Linked DNA regions of Caenorhabditis elegans. The protein of the gene in region 2 interacts with the protein of the main gene of each other region in a pairwise test. Each region holds a gene or a part of one and is shown on either strand. Other genes may lie near its edges. The genes, in order: phat-1, Y39B6A.1 and idpb-2.

Evidence for each region.
Region 1: the proteins of Y39B6A.1 (region 2) and phat-1 interact in a two-hybrid assay, tested with the Caenorhabditis elegans proteins (one large-scale study listed by BioGRID).
Region 3: the proteins of Y39B6A.1 (region 2) and idpb-2 interact in a two-hybrid assay, tested with the Caenorhabditis elegans proteins (one large-scale study listed by BioGRID).

The regions. Positions count from the first base shown.
Region 1 is NC_003279.8:5,044,011-5,047,767, forward strand, and holds phat-1 (ShKT domain-containing protein), read right to left. Parts: upstream 1,711-3,757; coding exon 1,635-1,710; intron 1,589-1,634; coding exon 1,514-1,588; intron 1,470-1,513; coding exon 1,056-1,469; intron 874-1,055; exon of another isoform or gene 730-873; intron 686-729; coding exon 506-685; intron 425-505; coding exon 285-424; 3' UTR 188-284; downstream 1-187. Other genes in the region: phat-2 (ShKT domain-containing protein), read right to left, coding at 2,468-2,604, 2,972-3,421, 3,464-3,544.
Region 2 is NC_003283.11:19,201,674-19,205,430, forward strand, and holds the start of Y39B6A.1 (Histidine-rich glycoprotein-like), read right to left. Parts: upstream 1,935-3,757; 5' UTR 1,925-1,934; coding exon 1,873-1,924; intron 1,711-1,872; coding exon 1,558-1,710; intron 1,512-1,557; coding exon 1-1,511.
Region 3 is NC_003280.10:5,068,057-5,071,207, reverse strand, and holds idpb-2 (Intrinsically Disordered Protein, class B), read left to right. Parts: upstream 1-1,582; 5' UTR 1,583-1,599; coding exon 1,600-1,656; exon of another isoform or gene 1,657-1,703; coding exon 1,704-1,918; intron 1,919-2,178; coding exon 2,179-2,473; 3' UTR 2,474-2,560; downstream 2,561-3,151. Other genes in the region: C27A2.7 (C2H2-type domain-containing protein), read left to right, coding at 1-24, 329-400, 542-615, 691-844, 1,222-1,350.

The DNA.
Region 1 (3,757 bases), on a different chromosome or scaffold from region 2:
AAACTCAACGAAAAATTATTGACGCCAGATTCATTTAAAGTTGTCCAAAAAAGTTTTAATTATTAATTCAATGAAACAAAATAAAAATTGGATATGTTTTCAGAATGTTTGAAAATGAAAAAATAAATATTTTATTACATTTAAAACATTGAGATGTTTTGTTTTGAAATCGAACTTTCTCAAAATCTAAATTATTTAAATTATTTTATTTACTTTAGAATCATAAATCACAAAAACCAGACGGTGCATAAATTAGAGATAAATTATTTCCACAAACACAAAAATTATCCAGCAGTACAGAATCCGCAGGTAAGTGGACATTGGGTACGCATAAGGGAAATGTAAGCGGAGTTGGTACAAAAAGCACGACGATTTGGACAATCGGAAGTTCCTGTAGCGGCGTTGACTTGGTCGACACAAGTGGCTGAAGAGGTTTAAGTATCTTAGTTGTCGTATCACAAACAGTAGAATCAATCAGCTATAATTCTTCAGAAATAAAACTTACATGAAACAGTAGTAGAAGCTGATGACGTGGCAGAGATAGTTGAGCTTGATGTGCATCTTCCACAAGTTCTTGGGCATTGGGTGGTCATGATGTCATAGTAGACTGAGTTGTTGCAAAGAGAAGCACGAGCTGGGCAATCGGAAACTCCAGTTGTTGGATTGACACGATCAGCACAGGTGGCTGAAATTTCCTCAGTTAGTGCAAACGAAAATATAAGAAAAGCTAAGGCAAACAAAGCAAGCATATTAGACAGAAGCAGGTAAAAAAAGCTACAGCTGATCAGCGAAGCAAGAGGCAACTGCCACCTACTGGAATAGCTAGAAGTACTATTTGTGGAGCATCTTCCACAAGTTACCGGACACTGGACTGTCATAAGATTGTAATAAGCTGCGTTATTACAAAGTGCGGCACGAGCCGGACAATCAGATCTCCCGGTGGATGGGTTAGAACGATCGGCACATGTGGTGCCTGGAAATTTAAATTGTTGTCCTCTGTTTCAAGAAATCTAACTCTAATTAAAGAATCACGTTCCAGTTTTCAGCGAACTTACTGGACGATGAAGTAGTCGAAGAAGAAGTGGAGCATCTTCCGCAAGTTCTTGGGCATTGAGTGGTCATGAGTGTGTAGTAGTTGGAGTCGTTGCACAAAGCAGCACGAGCTGGACAATCGGAAACTCCGGTGGATGGATTAACACGATCAACACAGCTAGTAGAGCTTGTTGAAGTAGAATTACAGCGACCGCATGTTCTTGGGCACTGCTGGGTCATGACTGTGTAGTAGGTCGAGTCGTTGCAAAGGTAGGCAAGAGCTGAACAATCAGAGACTCCGGTAGATGGATTGACACGATCAGCACACGTTGTCGTGGAGGTAGAAGTTACTGTAACTGATGATGCAGTTGTGGTTACTGTAGATCCATCGGAATCGGTCACAACAGCAGCAGTGGTTGAAGTAACAGCGGCAGCAGCTAGAATTTCAAAGGTCGCTGTTGAAAGAATCTGTTTCACTTACTGGTAATAGGACAGCATTGACCAGCTGCCACGTCACAGACCTGTGTCTGGCACACAAGAATGCCACCGTCACACGCTGAAATAAAGTATTTATTCTAAATGCGATTACAGTTGTTACTTACGTCCTTCAGATTCAGAAGCTTCACAAGCAAATGCAACCGAGAATATGGCAAATGAAATAATGAATTGACGGAACATGATAGAATGATGGTTATAGTTCTGCAGCAGTTGCTTTTATATTGTGAGATACTGTCCATCTGTTCAAACAATTAACGTTGACCATTGTGCTATAAGTCTTTGAAATTGAAATAATGTGATCAAGAAGTTTAGATACCGTTCGTGATGGAAGTTTATGACGAAATAGCTAAAAAGTATCGCTTGTGGCAAATGTTTCAACAAAAGAGTGCTGAAATTATTAAATTTAAATTACATATATTTTGACGTAGAATGTGTATCTCGGGTCTGCAGTGATCGATTTTTTGCTGAAAATGCCGTCAAAATAATTATGCAAATAACGGCTATTATGACAGTTTTACAAGCTTGCAAAAACCCCAGAATACAACTTTAGATTGTAGGAGTTGAGCTTAACTTTTTGAGATAATCTAGTAGAAAAATTGGATTTTCAAAAAGAGTCTGTAAGTAACGTTTCTTTGTAAGTTTTTCAAGTAAAAGTTTTTTAAAGTTTTATTTCTTGTCTATCTGTTTTTATCGCAATATTCCATATTTTACAGTGGCTATCCACGAGCTAAAGGCTGTTCAAACATTTCAGCTCTGTTTCAAAAATAACAAAATTTTCGCAGAACAATGCGCGCATTGTTTTTATATTGGTACAACCAACCGGCGTTTCGGATACTATTTGAACACATTTCTTCCCGACTCGCAGCGTTTTATTATAAATTAAAATGAATTGGACACATTATTACACAATTATTACTAATCGTGATGGCGAAACAAATTATCCGGATGTACAGAATCCGCAGGTTCTTGGACATTGAGCACGCATGACGGATTGGTAGGCTGAGTTGTTGCAAAGACCAATGTTGGATGCACAATCAGATCTTCCGGTGGCTGGGTTGACTCTGTCGACACATGCTGGAAGATTTTCAAGATTGGTTTTAGAAAGTAACGAATGCTTGTGTTATTGTTGAAAATCTATGGCCGTACATTTTTTAGATAATACAGTAGATTGTTTTACCTTAGAATCGGATGTTTCAGATTTTTTTGGACAGTTGTTTTCTCTTTTTTTAAATAAACAAGTAGTTAGTTTCGTCTAAAGTTGGGGAAAGGTTGGCTGGTAGTTTTGAGTCATTAAAAACTCGGACTTTTTATTTGTGATATTTGGCCATGTTGCAATTAATATGAAAATATTTGTACAACTAAATTTTGCTTAAATTTAATACTAAATCAAGCTCCAACCGTTAAAATCAGTTTTAACACTTTTATAATTTTTCCCACTTACTTCCGGAAGAAACAGTTGCGCTGGATCTAGTGGTAGAAGATGAACCGGAACTTCCACAGAATCCACAAGTTCTTGGGCATTGAGTTCTCATCAGATCAATGTAGTTGGAATCATTACAGAAAGAACGCAGGCTTGCGCAGTCCGAAGTTCCCGTCTTTGGGTTCTTCAAGTCAGTGCATGTACCAGTTGTAGGTGTGCTAGAGAATGATGAGCATCTTCCGCAAGTCTTTGGACATTGTTGAGTCATGACGTCAAAGTAGTTGGCATCGTTGCAGAGAGCTCTTCTATTAGCACAATCAGAAGTTCCTGTAGCTGAATTGACACGATCAACGCATCCTGTTCCAGATGAAGTGCGGGAAGTGACAGTGGATCCACTACGGATAGTCGTGGCAACAGTCACAGTGGATCCCGAAGCGTCGGTGACAACGTTAGATGGAACCACAGTGGTGACTGAAAAGGGAAATTTAAAATTTACTGATTCCAGAGACTTACTGAGATCCGCATTGAGACAGCAACTTAAAAGAGTAAGATCACAAGTAGATCCAGTTTCACAAGGCAAACCAACATCGCATGCTGAAAAAATGTTTGGATTAAAGAATCGAATTTGAGCGCGAAAAAAGTGTTACTCGACCAATGACATTAAGGCGTGGTCAACGTCATTGATTGGTCAAAAGTTTCAAAAATCTAAAAATCTAAAATTGCGCCCTTCTGCTGGCTTTAATTTGAGAGTAAATTTCCCAGAAAAACTTTTGGAAGTGTTCAAATTTGAAGCCTGTGCGATAGTTT
Region 2 (3,757 bases):
AGCTGGAGCATGGTGGTGCTCCCCATGATGTCCGTGGTGAGCTGGGGAGTGATGGGATCCGTGGTGTCCGTGGTGGGTCCCATGTTCCCCGTGGTGTCCATGGTGTGCTGGAGCATGGTGGTGCTCTCCATGATGTCCGTGGTGGGTCCCATGTTCCCCGTGGTGTCCGTGGTGTGCTGGAGCATGGTGGTGCTCCCCATGATGTCCGTGGTGAGCTGGGGAGTGATGGGATCCGTGGTGTCCGTGGTGGGTCCCATGTTCCCCGTGGTGTCCATGGTGTGCTGGAGCATGGTGGTGCTCTCCATGATGTCCGTGATGAGCTGGAGCATGGTGGTGCTCCCCATGATGTCCGTGGTGGGCTGGGGAGTGATGTCCGTGTCCATGGGATTCGTGGTGTCCATGATGAGCTGGAGCATGGTGGTGCTCTCCATGGTGTCCGTGGTGGGTCCCATGTTCCCCGTGATGAGCTGGGGAGTGGTGGGTCCCATGGTGCTCTCCATGATGTCTGTGGTGGACTCCGTGCTCGTCGTGATGAGCTGCGTGCTCATGGTGCTCTCCTTCCTTGTGCTCGTGATGAGCTCCATCCTTGTGCTCGTGGTGCTCATGATGGGCTGGAGCGTGCTTCTTCTCGTCCTCAGATTCTGAGGAAGATGAGGAGCTGGAGCTGGAGCTGGAGGAAGAGCTAGAGCTAGAAGAGCTCGCGGCCTTCTTGTGATGCTTCTTTCCGTGGCTCTTCTTGTGATGCACCTTCTTCTTCTTCTTCTCGTCTTCAGATTCCGAGGAAGAAGACGATGAAGAAGAACTGGAAGAGGAAGAGGAGCTGCTGGAAGAGCTGGAGCTGGAAGCGGCCTTCTTGTGATGCTTCACGTGCTTCTTGGCGGCGTGCTTCTTGTGATGGTGCTTCTCATCCTCGGATGAGGAAGAGGAGCTGGAGGAGCTCGAGCTCGAGCTGCTGGACGAGCTAGACTCGGCCTTCTTGTGATGCTTCTTCACGGCATGCTTCTTGTGGTGATGCTTCTCGTCTTCGGACTCCGACGACGAAGAAGACGAGCTGGAGGAGCTGGAGCTAGAGGAGCTTGACGATGAGCTGCTGGAAGAGCTCTCAGCCTTCTTGTGATGCTTCTTCAGATGCTTCTTGGCATGCTTCTTATGGTGATGCTTCTCGTCTTCGGACTCAGATGAGGAGCTGGAAGAGGAGCTTGAGCTGGAGCTCGAGGAGCTGGATGAGCTGGAAGAGCTAGACTCGGCCTTCTTGTGATGCTTCTTAAGATGCTTCTTGGCGTGCTTCTTGTGGTGGTGCTTCTCGTCCTCGGATTCAGACGAAGAGGAAGAGGATGAGGATGAGCTGGAGGAGCTGGAGCTCGAGCTGCTGCTGGAGGAGGAGCTGGAGCTGCTCGAGTCCTGAGCCTTCACATGGTGATGGTGGTGGTGGACCTCGTGGTGGCCTGGATGGGCTCCGTGAGCATGATGGGTATGGTGACCGTGGTGTGGGGAGATGAAGCTCAGGAATCCTGAAATATTCCTGTTTATTAAGAGATTCCAAAGCTCCGGACCAACCTTTCAATGAGATGTGTCCATCATGAGCATGATGATCAAAGACCTTCTGGAAGTGGAGCTCCTTGGCCAGGTGCTCAATATCGTGGAGCGCCGAGCGAGCTTCATCCCGAGTGAGCTTATGCCCGTGCGAGGAGTGCTTCGAGAAGAGCTTCTCTGAAAATTATCATGATCTTTGACTACCGTAGGTGATACTAAGAAACTACAACTGATAACATGTCAGTTGTGTTGTGTTGGCAAACATTTCCGAAATTTTCTAATTTTTTCGGTAATTTCACTGATAAGAATGATCTTTGGCAGGAAGCGCCGAAAACTCACTGATCTTGTGAAGCGACACGTGGTGGGTGTGATGATGATGGTGCACCGTCATTGTTTAGGTTCTGGAATTTTCAGAATTTTCAGAATTTTACTCGAAATTCAAAGTTAAGAGGGATTTTAGAAGTAAAATCGAGAAAAAGCCCCGAAAATTTTGATAATCACCGTCCTCCTCCGCCCCATTTTATAAGCTTTTTTTAGGCTCCGCCTCCCTTAAGTTTGACTCCGCCCATTTTGACACGGGAGGCAATTAAAAGTTTTGATGATGTTTGGAGAAGTGAGAGATCGAGATAAGACACCCGGAGAAGGAGAAACGTGAAAATTTGGGACGATGATTGTCAGAGTGATGTAATATTTGGGGAGGTAATAGGAGAGGTGATGAAGTCTGACAGCTGTTGAGCATCAGCATTTGATTAATTTTCAAAATTTTCAAATTTTCAGCTGATTGTATTATAGTAGTTCACTGAAGGGTTTTGTGTGAGAAGTTGGAGGTTTTTGTGATTTTTCGGGTCTCGGTAGGTTCTAGCATACCGAAAAAGAGCCTGACCTTTGGACACTGACCTTTTCTGGAACGTTTAACTGCTTCCAATAAGCTTCAAGTGGCTCCGAGCAGCCTGATTGCTAAAATTTTCTAATTGTTTCAGTTAGATCATAGACATTTCTAGCGGCTTCCAACTAGTCCTAGACCCTTCCAAGTACTTCTAGAAGCTACCAGCCTGACCTAGGAGTTCAAAGCCTGGCCTAGGCGCCCAGCAAGCTTTCTGAAGGCTTCAATTTGCTTTTAGTAAGCCTTGTGATCGTCTAGCAGATCTAAAGTGCCTTCACGAGCTCTTAGTGATTCCGAAAAGCCCGACTGCTGAAATCTTCCAATTGCCTCCAACAGCTCATAAATGTCTCTAGAAGCTTCCAGCCTGACCTAGGAGTTCAAGCAAGCTTTCTAAAGGATTTAATTTGCTTCTACTGAGCCCTGTACTATTCTAATAGGCCTCAAGTCCTTTGTGAGTTCCCAGTGGCTCCTAGCAGATTTTAGCAGCTCCGACGAGCACGGCTTCTAGCAGCTCCCTATTGGTCCGATAAGCTTCTATGGGCCTCTAGAAGCTCCCAACTGGCTTTAGCTGCCCTCAAGAGCTCTGAGCAGCACTGGGTTGCTTCAAGGTGTTAGATTCCTGGTTTTCCAGATTTTAACCAAATTCAGCAGCTCTGATTGGGCTTTCGGAGCTTTCAGCACCCGCCGACCTTTCCCAACTGCCCCTAAAAACTCCAAACTGTGTTTTCTGAAGAGCCACACCCAAAACTGCTATTTTATGAGCCTGTGGCATTTCCAAAGATGATGGCAAACTTTTAATGGTGCTCTTAACACCTTTTTTTTGTTGGAAATTCGAAATACTAGTTTTCTAGTTTTCCAAATATCATGTGATCATTCAATCTTGCAATGGTGGTTATAATTCATTATTTGCACCAACAATTAATACTCCTTATCTCTATAATGTTCTTAATTTGCTGCAATTGAACTGGTTTTTGAAGTACCAACTACACTTTTTGAAGGTTTCCGGTGGAAAATTCAGGAGTTTGAGCAATTTTGTCAGAAATTTCCGTTTCCTGACAATCTTCTGGCTTCAAAATTCGAGTTTTTGACTTTTTCTCAAAAAAAACCGGGAAAATTAGGAGAAAAAGCTTCAAATCTGGATAGTTTTTCCGGAAAAACATCGAAAATCGATGTTTCCTCAATTTTCCTGAAACTTTGATATTTTTTGGGCCTTTGACTTGAAATTTCAAGCATTTCACAGCATACTGTCGTGGAATTCATACAGGCAGCCTAATTTTTAAGATCCTTGACTTTTTTCCAGTTCCTGTACATTTTCAGCATTCGGGAGCAATTTCCGCCCCA
Region 3 (3,151 bases), on a different chromosome or scaffold from region 2:
AACAACAATCAACAATCAGAAAAGGTAACTGATAGGTTTTGATATGAGCTATTCTATATATGAATATTAATCTAATTTTCCTGACAGTTCTAAGATATTGTATATCCCCTATTAGTATTGTATGTAATACTTTTTCCATCGATTACTCTGAGTTTAGCTCTTGTAAATATTTCAATTTAATAAGATATATTATATTTAAATATTAGACTCACAAACATTTATTGAAATTGAAAACTTTCAACAAAAGACTACAAACTTACAGTAATCCCAATAGTCAATTGTTTTACACATATTTTATCAGTGTATGTTCATGAAAAATATATTGAAGGTCTACACAAAAGCTCAACGGTCATCTGTCAGGTTTCCAACATACGATGGATTGCTCCCCGCTGGCGGAACAGTAAGCGGAAGCTTATCTCTCTTTCTCCTGTTCTATCATTTTTTGGTATATTCTTCTGTTAGCAATTACTTTGAGAACCTTTTTTTCAATTGTATCTATCATGTTCTTTTCCTGAACACCATCAGTTCCTTCATATTTCAGTACATTTGCGATGAATGCAACAGCGACGAGCGGACCCCATTTCAGCTTTGTGAGCACAAGGCAATTTATCACAGGTTTGCCTATTTTTGAAGAATTTAATTTGTTAGCTATAACTTTTGTGTTTATAAATGTATACTCTGGCGTTTCAGTCCCCAAGACCAGAGGGTTTGGAAATGTGTGTACTGTCACACACAATTTGGAAGGCGAGGTGGACTTCGGAGGCATGTTCAGATGGTTCATATGCAGATGATGCATAAATGTCCCGTAGAGAATTGCACTCATCCAGGATACAAGTGCACAAAGGTGGTCATTTCAATCTTTTTATTGAAGGCAGGACCACGCGCTCGAATTTAAAATTTAAAAAAATTAGATTTATGGAGTACTGTAGTCCACATTTCTTCATTGTTGTTTCAATGTTTTCCGTTCGTTTACATAGGAGCTACAGTACTCCGTCATCCATCGGACGTGTCGAGACGAGATTTTGTATCAGTGGTAAAAACCTTTCAAAAAACGTAGCAAGATTCAAAGGAACCTTTGAACTCTTTTAACTTGAAGATGCAGCTCTAGATTGCCACTAGATTACCAAACGTTATAAATGTTTGAGAATTATTGGTTTCATTAATATTGATTTTTCAAGCCAAAAACACCCTTCAAGTCTATTCAAGTCTATGCTCTTTCAGGCTCTGAATGCTCATGTCAGAACTCATACTCGACCATATGCCTGCCATCGGTGTGATGCTAGCTTTGCACGAAAAAACGATCTACAGAGTCATCTATCAACTCATCAAGCTACTCCAGTCATTCATTAATTTATTATATTATCTCAATTTTCCGTTTCTCTATCTATCTTATTACGATTACCTCTTCTTTTTTTCTGTGATTGTACCATAAACCTCAAAGTCCAACGCGATTTCTCGAGGGTATACGGAAGGGTTGAGTTTTGCTTCCGGAAAAGTGTCAAATGCACTACGCACCGCGCAACCGCAGGCATACTTACGTAAATATTTGAGTGATATAAAAGAAAGCATGAATGGTTCAATGATACACTCGAACTTAACATGAACAAGCTCGTCTGCTCCACCTTCGCCATTCTGGCAATAATCGCAATTTCTCAGGTATCAACGTTTCAGGGGACTTGTGTAGAATTCGAAGATCCTTGCAGGTTCAATCAGCAGTACTACCAGTGTCCTCAAAAGAAGTAGCATTAATAACATCATCTGCTTCAACCACTTCATCATCTGAAACATCAATTGATACATTAGGATCATCCAGAGTTAAAAGACAAGGAGGATGTGGTTGCTGTGGATGCGGATGCGGATGCTGCGGATGTGGTGGAGGAGGTGGAGGAGGATGCGGATGTTGCTGTTGTAGACCAAAGTAAGTTCAGAATTCGACACTTCTACTTTTTTAATTGATAATTCCAGAAATGTTACATTCACTATTTGAAAGATCTTTAATCCTTTAAATCTCAAAGTTTTAAACTTTGTCGTTACGTTTTCAGACTCGTCTGCATCTTCAGCATTTTCAGAATGATGTAGCAAATTTTAGTTCAAATTTTAGTGTAGCAACATCTTTCTTAAAAGAACAGTATCTTTTAGGCACATCTGCCGTTGTAATTTAAAATTTAAAATTTTCAGATGCTGCTGCTGTTGCCGCCGTTGCTGTACATGTTGCCGTACTTGCTGTTGTACAAGATGTTGTACTTGCTGCCGTCCATGTTGTTGTGGATGTGGATGTGGATGTGGATGTTGTGGATGCGGAGGTGGAGGACGTAAACGTCGTTCTCTTCAGAATCTCCGTATTGCTTTGGCTAACAAAATCGAAGGAATCGCCAAAGTCGTGAAGGGATCCGCTGTAGAAGCTTCAGTTATGAACGCATTGGCTCCTGTCAATGATGCTACGGTTGAAGAGAAGAAAGACGTGATCAACTGAGCGATGCGTTTGTTAAACTAATTTAATTAATTTAATTTGAATTCTGTGATTCTCACTTCAGAGAAATAAATAGTTGATTCTCTCTTGATTAACGCAAATACCAAAAAAATGTTATATACATAGAATTAGATAAAAAACGAGTAGAGACAAAGTTCAACAACGTTGTTGTCCATACAAAGCCTTGGAATTTACCGGCCCCCAAAGTATGCCTGGTTTGAGAAACGCTGAAAAATCCTCAGAATTAGATCAGAAAACTCATCAGAAATTGTTGCTTGTAGTAGTGAAATTTTCTTGATTGATCTGAGAAGCTTAAACTTGTTACTAACTTTTCAATAACTCGTCTCATTCTAGAGAACCTGAAAGTAACCGGGAGCTTGTGTGGTAAAATTATTCTACATTGGAAGAAATGGCATATTTCCCTTTTCCCCTATTTTACATTAGGTTTCTATTTTCAATTTCGGTTCAAGAATCATCAATTTTTAATTCCTAGTCCCATTTAGAAATAATGTCGCAACACTCATTCTTCATTCCCAGAGTCTCGCCCATTTCTTTCCCATTGAAACACTAGCTTCTGGTTACCATGACAACTCCATCCTTGTGCTCCAGTAAAAACTGCTCTGTCTCCTCCTTCTCTTTATGCTCACTGCTCCCCCTCCCCACATATATACACCCTAACAC